2 linked regions of the Caenorhabditis elegans genome follow. The protein of the gene in region 1 purifies or fractionates together with the protein of each later gene. This does not show direct contact. Each region holds a gene or a part of one and is shown on either strand. Other genes may lie near its edges.

The links. The genes of interacting proteins can lie anywhere in the genome.
Region 2: the proteins of droe-4 (region 1) and gda-1 fractionate together in Caenorhabditis elegans (co-fractionation; one large-scale study listed by BioGRID). This does not show direct contact.

What each region holds. Positions count from the first base shown.
Region 1 is NC_003283.11:13,989,221-13,996,622, forward strand, and holds droe-4 (dietary restriction over expressed), read left to right. Parts: upstream 1-3,435; 5' UTR 3,436-3,541; coding exon 3,542-3,877; intron 3,878-3,943; coding exon 3,944-4,084; 3' UTR 4,085-4,256; downstream 4,257-7,402. Other genes in the region: ric-7 (CRAL-TRIO domain-containing protein), read right to left, coding at 442-636, 1,562-1,660, 5,884-6,039, 6,487-6,799.
Region 2 is NC_003281.10:11,022,956-11,030,741, forward strand, and holds gda-1 (CMP/dCMP-type deaminase domain-containing protein), read right to left. Parts: upstream 3,612-7,786; 5' UTR 3,587-3,611; coding exon 3,352-3,586; intron 3,044-3,351; coding exon 2,925-3,043; intron 2,486-2,924; coding exon 2,333-2,485; 3' UTR 2,284-2,332; downstream 1-2,283. Other genes in the region: putative voltage-gated potassium channel subunit kvs-4, read left to right, coding at 169-419, 504-637, 696-721, 802-831, 1,127-1,197, 2,098-2,214; Y48A6B.8 (Wsv161), read right to left, coding at 4,379-4,448, 4,499-4,657, 4,711-4,815, 4,871-4,943, 4,995-5,106, 5,151-5,402, 5,447-5,560, 5,614-5,714 and 2 more.

The DNA.
Region 1 (7,402 bases):
AAGTTGGATAATTATGAAATTTAGTTTTTATCCTAAATTTGGCCATTACACATGGTGTCAGAGTGTCCCATTTCGGTTTGATCTACGTAGATCTACAAAAAAGCGGGAGTTGAGACGCAGACTTCTCAACTGATTTCGCATGGTTCAGAGCGTGCTAACGTTACTTTTTTTGGGAAAATTCCCTTGTAGATCAAATCGTAATGGGACAACCTGACACCACGTGCCGTTAGGGGGAATTTTGAGTCTTGGGAAGTAACACGAAATTTACTTGTCCCATACGGTAACATACGGTAACTTTCTTATTTCAACAGAGGCAAACTTGCAAATTAATCTAAAATATTATCAAGCTCTCAAAATCCTCTAAATTCGTCGGCGAACATCGGCTTAACCGCTCAAATTAGTCTGCGCGCATTTCAAATATTCCAAATTCCATATCTATACCTTTGGAGGTAAATCGTCATCTCCTCGGTCAACGAGAATCTTGAAAATGTCTGCAGGACTGTCCACATTGAACCAATCTTCACAGAAAAGTCCAGCAAGTCGTTCGTCATACGCTCTCTTCGCTTCGAGAACCATCAACACTTGGTAGGCTTTATGGTGATCTTCTTCAAGTCCGGATAACGAATCAGTTGATGCCTGAAACATTTGGAAAATGAATGGAATTATGGTGTCGATGTATGATTTGAAAGTAATCGTAAGATTGGTCAGATCATTGCAGATTTTATAAAGTTGCGTTTGCGTAGGCATAGTCCTTCAGCATCTAACATCACTGAACATCAATTTGAACTATGGCTTGTTTTCGTAGAAATTCATTCTTTTTCTAGGAATAATTAAACTATTGTTCTAAAAAAGAAAAAGTGAACTACCGGAAACAAAGAAGCCATGCTGAGCGTAGAAAATCGTCGGAAATCACGACATTAAAAAAGTTCAGTGCCAGCGACCTTTATTTCAGATTTTGAAAATTAAATCGACGAAAATCAATTTTTCCCCAACATTTTAGAAAACAATGTATACAAGAAAAAAAACAATGCATGCAAACAATGCAAACAATGTGTTTGTTTTATAAGAATTTTTTTGGCAGATTTGAGTGGAAATCAAAAATCTGAAAAGCCCGGTTTTGGGGAAATTCTACCCAAAATCTGAGAAAAATGAACTGAAAAACTTTCAGATTGAAATTTTATGGAAATTTTTTTAGCATGTTTAGTATGTTTCAATGGTATTTTTATCTATACTTCTACTTATTCATTTTTTAAATGTAATTTAACTAAACTATTCTATCAAAAGTTTATTAAAATGCCACCGGACATTAAATTAAACCAAATTTTTATAATTGAATTTCATGAAATTTGATAACTTTAGCATTTCCGGTAACCGGGATACATGACATTTCAAACTAAAAACTCAAAGAAAAAGTTGTCGTTCTTTGAAACAAGTCACACTTATAGTTTGTAGAAGAATCACACGAAAGACCAAATTTTCTAGTAAATTTTTTGTAAACGTGGGAAAATTGTAGTGATGTTGAGTAATGTAGTGTGGTCGAAGCATTTCTGTTGAAACTCACCAAATCATGCAACTTTTTCAGATCTTTTCGCATTGAAGACGGACTGTAGCCTGGCCATTTATTCATAAAATCGCATTCTTGGACTGCATTGTCGAATCGCTGGAAAATAAACATATATTAGTTTTAATCTCCAAAAAAAATAATTTCTGGACTCGGAGATTTTGTTTAGAAAGTAATCTACCAAATCGCGCGGGTTTATAAAATTTGCCTCCCATAAGAATAAGTCTACTTTAAGCCAGTTTTTGCGTGGTTTTTGTTTTGTTGTTCTCCTCTCATACATCGGATTTTACTGTAATCCTATAAAGTGATTCAATTTCCTATTCTCATATCGTAGACATGTTGATTTGAAAGGAAACTGTCTCGTTTGACGTATTATAATAATCATTATTATTATTCACAGGCATTATTCTTCCTTTTTCCAGCTAGTCGACAGTTTCTGAAACTGTGGACACTTGGGGTTTTGAGCTCAAAAATCACAAGACAGAATATTAAATACTTCCACTTTTTTCACAGGTCAGATCTATCTGCAACAAAATGTAGTCAGAATGATACCAGATATAGGGTCATTTGACAAGGGTCCTTCTTCCTTTATTGACGTCAATAATGAAATCAGAACAAGAAATTGGGTGAAAAGTGCAAAGGGCACAAGATGTACTTTTGCCATTTTTTTAAATTTCTTTTTGAGCATCTTCGTGACCATTCAATCATTTTCAGAAGCGTTCTTCACACGCAAATGTGCCACTTCCACACCTCTCAAAAATTTGAAATTTTCACGCTGAAAATTGGATTCCTCATTTTGTGTGGTTCCTGGACACTTTAAGATTCACTAGGATTAAATTGAGATTAACAGTGACGCCCGGGAGCTCGGACTTTTCGGTTTTTTTCGGATGGGAATGCCGACTAGAAAAGTTACATTCGTTGAAGTGAGACATATTTAAAAGTACAAAACGATTTGTTGATCTTCTATACTTTATCAAATGTCTCTTTAAAGCTACTGGCAAACATTCAAATGATCACCTCATAAGGCGTGGTAGATCAATCACTAAACGTGCAGATTGTCTTTAAAAAAATTTTAACTCCAAAATTTGGTCGTTCAAATAATGAGTCAACGTTGTGGCTCACAAAACAGAAGAGTTCAGAAATATTTTTGGTGCTGGTAGCGATGCGGATAACTAATTAGTAGAGGCTAACTGAAATCATTCACGTCAAGAGGCAAAAGAACACCGAATCGCTGAGTCAAAAAGAGTTCTGATCAACAGTAGGGAAGATCGCACTGTGTAGAATGATCTCAAATGGCGCCCTGTTTGGTACGGTGAAATATAGGGCTGTACAACCGGACGTCCGGTCGTCCGAACCGGACGCACATGCGTCCGGTTGGGGGTAGCTATCCACGACGGCCGACAATTTCCGAGTTTCGCCACTCACTATAAAACTGCTGATTAAGTATAGTGAGTGGCGAAACTCGGAAATTGTCGGCCGCCGTGGAAACCTACCCCAAAACCGGACGCAGTGCGTCCGGTGGTGTCAAAATCGGACGACCGGACGCCGATTTGTACAGCCCTAGTGAAATAAGTACACGTCAAAAACCCCAATTAGTGAATAAAGGGATATCCGTGTTATTTTTTTCCGATCTCCTCATTCTGAAAACCTTACTATCTATATGACATAACTTGGCATTCTTCCCTTGATCCTTATGTACTTTTAACTTAATCAAAACATGAGCTGACCATTTATCTTAACATTATCACCCGTATCTGTCACATGTTTCTAAAAAACACCTCCTGATCTTCAGCTTTTCTTTTCCACCTCCTTTTTCCTATTTTCCAGCTCTGTTCAAAGCCCGCCTTTCGTTACTAAAAAACTGACTCCGCCCATTTCAGCTTCATCATATAAACAGAGTTGGCAGTAGGGCTAATCACTACTTCGAGTCACTCGGACATCTGCCGATCTCTTTTTTTCGATCTCACTGAAACGGTCGACATGTTGAACACTCCAACTGTTATTCTCATCTCTTCACTCGTCCTGGCCTCGGGTTACAGTGTTCGTTCAACTGCTAAGAACACCGTTCAAGATGCTCACGATCAACTCACAAAGAGCATTCGGTGCTGGGAGCCGATTGATGTCAACAATCCATCAAAAGGATACACGATGAGCGAGCCGATCTACGAGTTGTGTAGCTACATGCCAGACCCAAAGGACTACAACAAGTACTACGTCAATGGAGTTCAAATGGATTCCGATGATTACACCAACATCTTGGCCATGTACGGAAATCCAATCCCAGGACACGCTGTGATCAACGTTTGTCTACAAGAGGTAGGTTCAATATTATCAGGCTTAATATAATTGGAGGAATCGGTTTCTTATATAAAATCACTTCAGGCATTCCAATTCCACGCTGCAAACCATCCATCTCAGGTCAGCCTACGTTGTTTGTGCAAAAGAGACGGTTGCAATCTACCAAAAGGATTTACAACCTTCCTCGATTTCAATAAGCTCCCGATGCCAGAAGTCTTCTACTAATTCCTGAATCCTTTCGTCCAATAATATGCTATTCGTCGGGATGTCGCCAGTCTTCTTTTCCTATAATCCCCATTTTTGAATAATTCCTGATTTTCTTCTTCCTTGAACCCGTGATAATGACCATTTCTGATAATTGAACAAACGAACTGAATAAAGATGAGAAACGTTGCAGTATTCTGAGTTGTTCCATAATCCCAGAATCTTCAAATGATCGATTGCTTACGAATATTTGAAAGAAAAAGTGAACAAAGACTATGGTATACATACTCTCCCAACTATAAGTTAGCCGACTATTTTCAGATATCATGAAGAGGCTCCTTCGACGTAGGTAAATCTTCTGATTATACCCATTCATCTTGATTGTATAAATGCCGGATTAACTGACATCCATTATTGCTTTCCATTCTTAATCCGATTAGATTATTCCATTTGTAGATCCACCAAAAAATGAAATATATGTGTGACGTATAGAGACCAAAGAAGCTATTCATTATTCTAGATCATTCCAACTGTCTAACTTTGGTTTTCAAACTTTTAAACAGTAAATAAATGAGCCCTGAAGAGTTGATCGCCGTGCGCGTCCAACATCACCCATACAACTCATAAAGTATTCTTCGTGTGAGGTCTTGTTTACGTCACGGGCTCTTCTTGCCAAAAAGCGAAAAGCTAAAAACGAAGAACATACAACGCAACATAGGTTATTCTGCAAAATTAATGAGATCTTGCTGATGAGAGTAATCGAACACAAATTCTTCGATGCATCTGAATGATCAATCTGGCAATGAGCAATGGATACACATAAATTATTTCCCCTGCAAAACTAGTGGCATTCAATTTGCATTTTAATGATAATATGGGAATGAGCACGAATCCTCGCTTATTCCATTTATAACATTCAGGTTAACCGGTCTAGTGATTCTGAACTTTAGCAGACGAGTTAATGATAACCAAGACGTCGAAATCATCAGAGCTGACATTATTGACTTTTCAGCAGAATTCAATACGTCAGACACATCTTCTAATTGGGACGAAGCTTCTAGATATTGTGCAATGATGCTTCTCATCTGAAACCTTGTCTGGCGGAGCCAACTTGCACTTTTCAAGATATTATTCAAGAAGCACGTCAAAGGTGTGGTGGGTGGTGAAACGCAAGAAAAAACTAAAAATATCCTAAATGTTCTATAATCTTTTATTATTGTTTGGGTATTTGATACCAGATCGTGATATTCCAATCATCCAAATGGGATAAGAAGCTATTCTAGATTTTCTGTCATTTCTTGAGCTGAAAACAGCTTTCTTCAATAATCGCGGGGTTTCTTGGCATCGGAGGATTCAAATGTAAAAATCTGCGAACTTAAAGGTTTTCAAACAAACTTCAAAGAGCATGAAAAATCACATAAAGTGGTTAGATTCTCTAGAACAAAATATTACAGTAGTACTCTATGAATGATTCACTGAAAATTTCGAAAAACAAATGTATTCTCATTTTTAGAAAAAAAAACAATTCGTACCGAAGTCAAATCGTGACGACTTTAATCCGCTTTTTATTTTCTTTTTTGTTCGACAACTGGCTTCAATAACGACAATAACGCACGTAATTAATTGAGAAATCCGGTGGATGTGTCATTGGAAGAAAAATTGAATTTTCAAAAAACGATGGGGACCCATTTTTAATCAAAAGAGCATGGGTGCTTTGTTCATTTTATCTTGTTATTCTTGAAATTTCATTCCATTTTTTAAGCACACGGGGGTACTTTCAAATGCGGAAATTTTTTTGGCATTTTTGTGAAATTGCTCACCTTTTCAATAATCGACCACGTGGCGTCGCGAAGAAGTGAACATTTGTGATAAAGAGCCGATCGCATGAATAGAGAAACACATGATTCATTTGATTCGGTGACACTCGGAACGGCGACTCGTTTCAGACGACGCTTATGATAGATGGTTTGGAGGTCCTGTAATAACTTTGAAATGGTGTAATTTTTTTTTTTTTTGAAAAAACTTGAAGGATTTTCAAATTCTCAACAATTTTGATGATGTATTGTGAATGTTTTTTTTAATCGATTAAAGCACATTCACATTTTCACCATTTAAAATTAATTAGAATTCCATTTTGCACAAAGTTGGAGAAAGTAACCAGACGAGCAAAAAAACCTTTTCGAGGTAAAATGGACTTACAAAATAGATATTGGTTTTTAAAAAAAATCAAATCCGTAATTTTTAAGAGGGCTATTTTTGTGTGTAAAAAACTATTTAAAAAAGTATTCATTTTTTTGCATTTTTGGCCATTGTCTTTAATTGTGTCAAAAAAAATTTGTTTTAATTCAATAAAACATTACTTTACATTTTTAGACATCACATGAATAACCCCATACTTAAGAAGTTTTTCTGAAAGTTCTCACCCTAAATGGTGGTGAATATGGCTGAAAAATTTCACAAGCCATCACCATCAAATCTCTCGACATTTTCGGAGCAAACTTTGGCTCAATTTCCCGCGTTACAGATGAAGAAGCAATTGACAGGGCTCGTTGAACGGCAACTTCTGATTCAAGATCCCAATCAAGGTTTGCTCGTCGAAGTCTTTGTGGTGATGATCCTTCTTCATCGAATCCAATACGACTCGGTCCGTTACGATCAATATCATCACACCATTCCAGTGAAGCACACGACGGAGCTACAATTGACATGTTATCGGATTCCTGGAGAACGTATAATCTGAAAAAATGTCAATTTTAATGATCAGCTTTGAAATTTTCGGATGTTTCTAATAGTGCACAGTTTGAAACTTGAAAAATTTGTCATTTTCACATTTTCAGATTATAAAAATTTTATTCTGAAACCTTTATATGCGTGATTTTTAAGATTTTTCATGTTATAATAATTATTATTTTTCAAGTGACGAATTCTCCTGATTCACTGAAATAGACAATAGTGGGATTTCCAAAAAAAACTTTCGGTGCTTCATTCCAACTTTTGAGCTCTTTCTGCAAAAATGTCATCTTCCTGTTATTTTCTGGAACGGAAAACATGACGCAGTTATTACTTTTTTTTCTGCAAAAAAAGAAGAGAATGAATCAGCATAATCATAATCCAATTCGGGATGGGGATCTACTTTTCTATTCATTCGCCTTGTTCAAAACAGGAAAAAAGTTCTAATCTAGTATATGACGTGGTTTTTATCATAATAACACCAAGAGCATCATTTTTTGGGGTACAAAAATTAGTTTTATAAATTTTTTAAAATTAAATTTGGTGCCGATGGCACCACATTGTTTTTTAATTTTAAACTTATAAGAATTTTTGAAAATTGCAAAAACC
Region 2 (7,786 bases), on another chromosome or scaffold:
TTTGTGGAAAATTTTAGGCGCGAAACTCAACGAAAATTCTAGAAAATTCAAAACCCTGCTAAAAATTTGTAAATTTTTGGAAGACATGGCAAATTTCTAAAAGCTTCTTAAAACAGTCAAAAATAAAAAATTCCGTACATTGAAAAATTGTTACTGTTTTTTCTTCAGGCCTAAAAATGTTGGTCAGTGCTGAGAGGAGCAAGACATTCCGGCAACTGCTCAACATCATAGATCTACTTGCTATCCTTCCATTTATCATAGAAATGCTTCTCTTAATTTTTGGAATATCAACGGAGCAACTACGGGACCTCAAAGGAGCATTCCTTGTTATTCGAATTCTTCGAGTGCTCAGAGTCATTCGTGTGCTCAAGTTGGGACGATATTCCAGTGGTCTGCAAATGTTCGGAAAAACTTTGAAAGTAGGTCCAAGTTTTGATTTCGCGCCAAAATTTTTTGAAAGAAAAATGGCTTTTTGACTCCGCCCCTTTATTGGCAATTTTCAGGCGTCATTCCGTCAACTGGGTATGATGGCAATGGTTGTAATGACAGGTGTCATATTTTTCTCGACTTTGGTATATTTTTTGGAAAAAGACGAGCCCGCTTCAAAATTCCATTCAATTCCGGCGGCGTGTTGGTGGTAAGACACTTTTTTTCCAAAAATATTTGAAATTTTTTGAAAAAAAACTGATATTTAGGTGTATTGTCACCATGACAACAGTCGGTAAGATATAAATGTTGTAACGTACTTTGTTTCGGAAATTTTTGAAAATTTTAAAATAAAATATAAAACGAAATTTTCAGGGTACGGGGACCTGACTCCGGTTACAGTTCGTAAGTTTTTTAAAATTAATTTAATTTTAAAAAATTCAGATTTCTTGTGATTTTGTTCCCTTGGGCATATATTTTGGGCACTATTTTTCAAGTTTTGGGTTACTGTAGCGCCAAAAGTACGCAGTACACCAAACCTCACGACAAAATGCACAGATTTTTTAAATTGCGCAAAAAAAGGCTGGTTAGGGTAAAAATGTCGGTGAGCACAAATTTTGACATGAAAAATCTTTAAAAACTATTTAAGCCTAGTTTTTTATTCAATTTTCACTAAAAAAAAATTTTTTTTTAATTTCAGCTGGAAAACTGGTGGCAACTGGGGCAATCGCGTGTGGAGTCTTGGTTTTAGCATTGCCCATCACAATTATAGTGAGTTTTGTGATTTTTCAGAGTATTTTTTTTATGTATTAGCTTTTCCAACAATGTACTTTAGGCTCAAGTCGCATTCTCACTGAAATCGCGAGAACGTGAGAAAATGGCAAAACGTGTGTTTTTTGATGAATAAATGTGCATTTTTCACTCACACAAGCTTATGCAATAGTGATTTGAGAATAAAATTTTGATAGAAAACAAAAACCAAATTAGCTCCGCTGGTGTGTCATTGAAAATTTTTTTTTTGAAACTCTTGTATCTTTGCAGGTATTTAATTTAAAAAATAGTTTAGAACTAATAAAATGTGCAAAATTTTGTGTAGAACAATTTGTTAGTTGATAACTTTTCAGTAGAATCAATCGTTGTTGAGATATGACGATTTTAGCGAAGTTACAGGTTACTGTAGCTCTGGAAGTACGCAGTGCACCGAATCTTACGACAACATGCACAAAACTTTAAAATTGTGCAAAATATGCTTTTTGGGTAAACACGTGGTGTCAGAGTGTCCCATTTCGGCTTGATCTTCTTAGATCTACAAAAAATGCGGGAAACGAGACGCAGAGTTCTCAACTGATTTCGCATGGTTAAGAACGTGTTGACTTCACATTTTTTTAGGCAAAAAATTCCCGCATTTTTTGTAGATCAAACCGCAATGGGACAGATTGGCGCCACGTTTTAAAACCTGTGCGTTTTGCCGTAAGATTCGGTGTATCGCGTACTCTTAGGGCACAAGTAACCCGTAATGCGTCATATCTCTGAAAAAACAAAACTTTGAGCACTTTTCTTTACTAAAAACGTTTTTTTTTCAATTCTAACCCTGCACATTACAAGATTTTCAACAGAAAATTTGATAGCCAGGAAACAAATTTTCTTCTAATTTTTTTTTTTAATTTTCAGGTCGATAACTTCATGAAAGTGGCTGAAACTGAACGTCCGGCGGGTGGAAATCGATATCGAACATCTCAATACCCAAAAGCTACAAAATCCGAGCAAATGATTTTGAAAGTTACCTAAAAAAAGTTTGAAATTTTGCCAATTTTGCCAATTTTTCCCCAACCGTCCCAATGTATTTGTCTTTTTATATGTTTTTCAAATTTTATTTAACGAAACAATTTTCAAAAAAATACTCCAATTAATATTCTGTCTTGTCCGGTTTGTTGGACCACATTTGGAATGGGAGTAGGTAGTTGTCGGCTGCCAAATGCTCCAATTTTCGGATTTCATCGCTTTTCGGGTCTTTTAGGAAGTCGTGGAATGCTTTGTCGTCGAATCCAATCTCGGCCGCCTGGAAGAACTTGTTTTATTTGGAAAAGGTTTTTTTTTTTGGGTTACTGTGTCACCGAAAATACGCAGTGCACCAAAGCTTACGACAAAATGCACAGTTTTTTTTTAAATTGAACTGAAAAAAGGTGCAGAATTCGATTTTTTTAGTAAAAAATTTTGAAAATTACTTTTTCCAAGGGTTTCCACAAATTAATGAACTTGAGAAAATGCACAAAATTATGGATTTTTACAGGCAATTTCTAGATTAGGTCTATAACTGGTTTGAACAGATTCGGTAAAATTTCAAAAGTTTGTGATTTTGCCGTAAGGTCCGGTGTATTGCGTACTTTTGGTGCTACAGTAACCCAAAGTTTGAAAAATAACCCCGAACGTCACTAAAATTGATAAAAGCTCTTAAAGAGACAGTAATAGTGTAAAAAATTAGTTTTTATGAAAATCACCTGCTGAGCAGTTGCTCCGTAGTAAATTGCGTCGAATCGAGCCCAAAGGCATCCGCCCATGCACATTGGGCATGGATAGCAAGATGTGTACAAAATATGTCCAGATAGGTCAAAAGTTCCTGAAAACGTGAATTTCAATTAAAAACTTATCGAAAAAAAACGTCGAAAAAATTTAGCATTTTTTAACAGAAAAATAGTTAATCGTTGTTTTTTTTCAATTTTCAAAAATAATTTTAAACTATCTAACTTGTAAAATTATGTGAAAAAATTTGCTCTAATTCGAGAAAAAATTCTGCAACTTTTTTTTTGAAAAAAAAAATCCTAAAAATCGCAAAAAAATTTTTTAAGAAATATAGGAAATCGAGGTTGTAAAATTCAAATGTTATGTCAATTTATCACTAGATGCTCTAAATATTCGTGTGCCTACCCAATGCCTTGCAGGCATTCTTAATAGCAGTCATCTCGGCGTGCATTGTCGGATCCTTGGTGACCAGCACCATATTGTGGCCTTTTGCGACCACTTTCCCGTTTGAATCAACTACAACCGCACCGAATGGTCCACCATCTCCACACTCGACACCTCGACAAGCTTCTGCGACAGCTTCGGCCATGTGCTCAGCGTGATGGGGTGGGAGAGGCTTATCAGAGGCGGATGGGCTCATTTTATAGTAGGAGTTGGGGAAGGTTCTGAAAAAAAATTAGTAAGGTCTGACGAAGAAAGGAAATTTTCGAGGTGAGCAGGCGGGTTTTTGTTGAAAAAACTCCCAAAAAAGTAAATAAAAAATTCTAAAAATTCAACAAAATGCAACAAATTTTTCCCCCAAAAAACCCAAAAATTCGCGTCGAAAGTGGCAAAACGTCTTTGAAACAGGTCACGATCATCATCGTCTTATCACAAAGTGATCCCTTATCAGCGACGAGCTTTTCCACCCCCAGCTGCCCGAGCCAACCACGTGAGCTCCGCGAGCACTTTCTTTTTTTTTTTGGTTTTTCTGGTATGATGTCTGTTGTAAGATTATTTAATTGATAAGAAATTAAAAAAGGTTTTGATAAGAAAATTTGTGAGAAATGGAAGAAAATTGAAAATTTATGGGGGCCTAGTATCAGGTGAGAGAGTGGCAGGGGAAAGTGCAAGAGGTGGTAGATCAAATAATTAAAAACTGAAGCTTTTGCGGGGAACTCGGCATTCACCGCCAGCTTCTTGCCCAAGTTTCACCCAAGAAAAATTAACATGGATTAGAAGCTGGCCAAACTTGGGCAAAACTTGGGTAAAACTTGGGCTAAACTTGGGCTAAACTTGGGCAAGACCTTGGTGATTATAGATGCGAATTATGCCGCGCTTTTACTTTATTCTTTAGACGATTTCCTGTGGAAAATATTTATTTAAGGACAAAACATGAACAGGGTTAACAACAAAAATCAATTACAAAAAAAAAACAACGAAAAATTAAGCTTCAGTGGGTGGAGTCTTTGACCGATCGTCCAGCAGCGGAGACATCATGCTCATTGCGTTGACCGGTTGCACTGTAATGAAAATGTATTGGTTTATCGATTAAAAGTATTGAGTTACTTACAATCTGATAACTTCTTCTGGTGACGTTTCCATCCTCTGATGCTGTTCTCTGAACTTTCGAACCTGTCCCCACTTGAGATGATGCTCGCAATAAGATGGTTTATTGCAGTTGAATAGTGCTCCTTTGGCAATATCAAAGTGATATGTTCGAAGATTGTTCCTGAAATCATATCATTTTTTTTTACATTTTACAATTTTTACGAGATTTCTTACATTGCTTTGCCAAGGGCTTCTACTGCGTTCTTGAACACTGTGATTCTTTCGTCCCTACGGCGCTGAACCTCAAGTTCTGCTCCTTCTCCAAGCGTTTTGATGAATCTAGAAGAAATGAAATGAATAATTCAAAATTGTTTAAAGTTGGTTCATGTCTTACTCATGCTCCCTATCAATCGAACCGTATGACAGCTCAACCGGCAAATAAACTCCAACAATATCGAATGCGACTTCTGAAAAAAACATGATTTTGTGATTAGAAATTGTTCACATCTTAAACGCACCAATAATCGCTGTTGTCACTTTTTGTGGTAACTCTTGAAAATGTCTATCAACACGGCGAACACAGCTTGGTCGGTAAGTAAATGCCCAGATTTTATAAGAAGGCTCCAGCATCTGAATTGAATTTATTATTTTTATATATCAAAATGTCAACTTACAGTTTTCAAGGCAACCATATAGAAATTTGAAAGTTGCGAGACGGCATCACCTCCAATCAAGAGTTCAGAGTTATAAATATCTGTGAGATTACACGTAGGAAACCCGTCAGCTTGTGAAATTGTGTGGTTCATCGTAAGTGTTCGTTTCACGATACATCCAGCGTTCAACTGCTTTGAAATTTTCGATGTCAGGGTGTGCACGTTTGCTGCAAGTGCGGTGTAATTCCCATCCTTAGGATCCTGCATTTTAAACTGAAAAAAGTATTAGGATATGAAATTGATTAATTACGGCCTGCCATCATCATCTGTGCAATTTGAATAGACTCTTTCTCGTCTTCTGTAGATTGTCTGAGAGCCTGGACGAACTGTAGGATCGAGAAGTTTGGACGAGTTGTATGTTTACAAAATTCCTTAAAATTAAGATATTAAGATTAAATATTTGGATATTTTGGATATTTTGCACCTCTATCTGGATCTCTGAAAGAGTTCCATTTTCTAATCCCTTCTTCACAACGTTGCCCATTTCCATAACATCTTGATTTCGAACCGCTGATTCCAGTTGCTCTGAAAATTACAATTTGCTTTAAACTCAAGATTTAGTTTCAATGTGACTTACCAATCATAGTTTTCTGGACCGCTCTGTTTTGTAGATGCTGAAAAACATCAAATCCCGCGGAGGTACTTGATCTGTCTGTGCTGTCCCCGGTTGCCTCATTGCTTTGTGAGCAACATGTTCCTTCACGAAGTTTCTGTTTTCGATAGGCTGTGCGCCCAGCCTTTGAATCAATTGTACCAGTTTTTGCGCGATTATTTGTCAGTACAGAATGTACAGAATGCTCTTTAAGGAATGGCGAGCACGAAATTTCACTCTTGACTTTTTTATAAGCGAAGTTGTTTTCAATTTCTTGCTCCTCCACTCCGACTTCCTCTTCAACTTCATCTTCGTTTCCGTTTCCACTCTCCTCATATTCTTCGTCGTCCAATTCTTCATCATCTATTTCGTCTTCAATGTCGTCTTCAATTCCGTACCCGTGCTCAAAAATCACTGGTTTTTTTGGGAATACAACTGGCTTCATAGTCGTTATAGTGTTCTCTCCAGAATAAAAGTTTTCGTAGTCGTCATCGTTCTTTTTTTTCTTGTTAACCGAAGATGTTCGAGTACTGGTTGCAAGTGGCTTCATCTTCCCTCTTGGATCTTCCCTCTTATGACGAATGGAACGTGTCGATCTTGGGGTATTTTCATTTCCAGTCGGAGCCTGAATTTTACTTTTGCTAATTTTCTAATGAGGATTATTAACTCACCGAAACTTTTCTTCTCTTAAGAGGCGCCATATTTAGATTCCAAAGTTAAATTATACTGAAAGTGATTAATGAATTAAATAACAGCGAAAAAGGCAAATATTTTCGAGAACAAAAAGGATAAAATAATAGTTTACAAATAAAATAAGAGAGTGTCAAAGAAAAAACAAAAAACAGTTAATTATATGTGTAAAATTGAGAAAAAATTATTGAAAATGATAAAATATGACGGAAATAGGAAGAAAAATTAACGATAATTAAAAGAGAAAGTTGATTTCGAAATTAATAATCATTGCGTTAAGAGCGCTGCGGATGAGCGCTGTGTGCCTAAACTTGGGCCAAACTTGGGCCAAATTTTGGCCAAACTTGGGTAGTAAGAAGTGGCGCGTAGCAACTCGGTTAAACTTGGGTGAAACTTTGGCTAAAGATTGTTTAAAGTTGTTTCAGAGTTTGGTAAGATAATCTGTATCAGAATATCTAAAGTTGGGTGAAACTTAGGTCAAACTTGGGCAAGACTTTGGCGAAACTTGGGTAAGAAGCTGCTGAGTAGCTAAAGTTGGGCAAGAAGCTGCAGGTAAATGCCGAGAAACTGGACACTTCTTATCGGGAAACCTATGTATATTGGAAGAGCAGATATTAAATTGGGTACTACAAAAAAATGAATCACAAGAAAAAATTTTGAACTAGAAAAAAGTTGAGCTGAAATTTTCAAACTTGGGAAATTTTTTTTTCACAATTTAGGATTGAAAATTTTTGAAGTTTTTATTATTTAAAAAAAATTATTCAATTAAGCTGAATTTAAAAAAAAACTTTTCGATTACTGAATTTTCAAAAAATAGAACTTGGAAAATTCATCTGAATTTTTCTTGAAATATTTAAGTTTGTTTTCATTTTGAATTATTTAATTTATGTTTTTAAAAATTATAAAAATGTTGAATTTTTTAAATTGAAATTTTTTATTCAAAAAAATCTGAATTTTTAAGAAGAAAATTAAAAAATTCCAAAATGATGTCCGAATATTTTTTTTGTTATCTAGACAGCGTTAAAATTGCCGAAAGTATGCAGAAAATCACCAGAAAAATTTGATAATTTTTTTTCGAGTTCAAAGAACTAATCTGTTGCTGAATTTTTTGTTGGAGCATTTTCAAAAATTCGTGCAGAACTTTTTGCCTAAAAAATGTGGAAAACTTAAAAAACTCACTAAAAATAAATTACAAAAATGGAGCACAAAATGGAGCATTTCTAAAAATAAAAGTGACTCGATCATCAATCCCTCCCTCCCCCGAAGATTTATAATCGTCTATAAAAATCAATAAAAATAAATAAAAATCAATCAA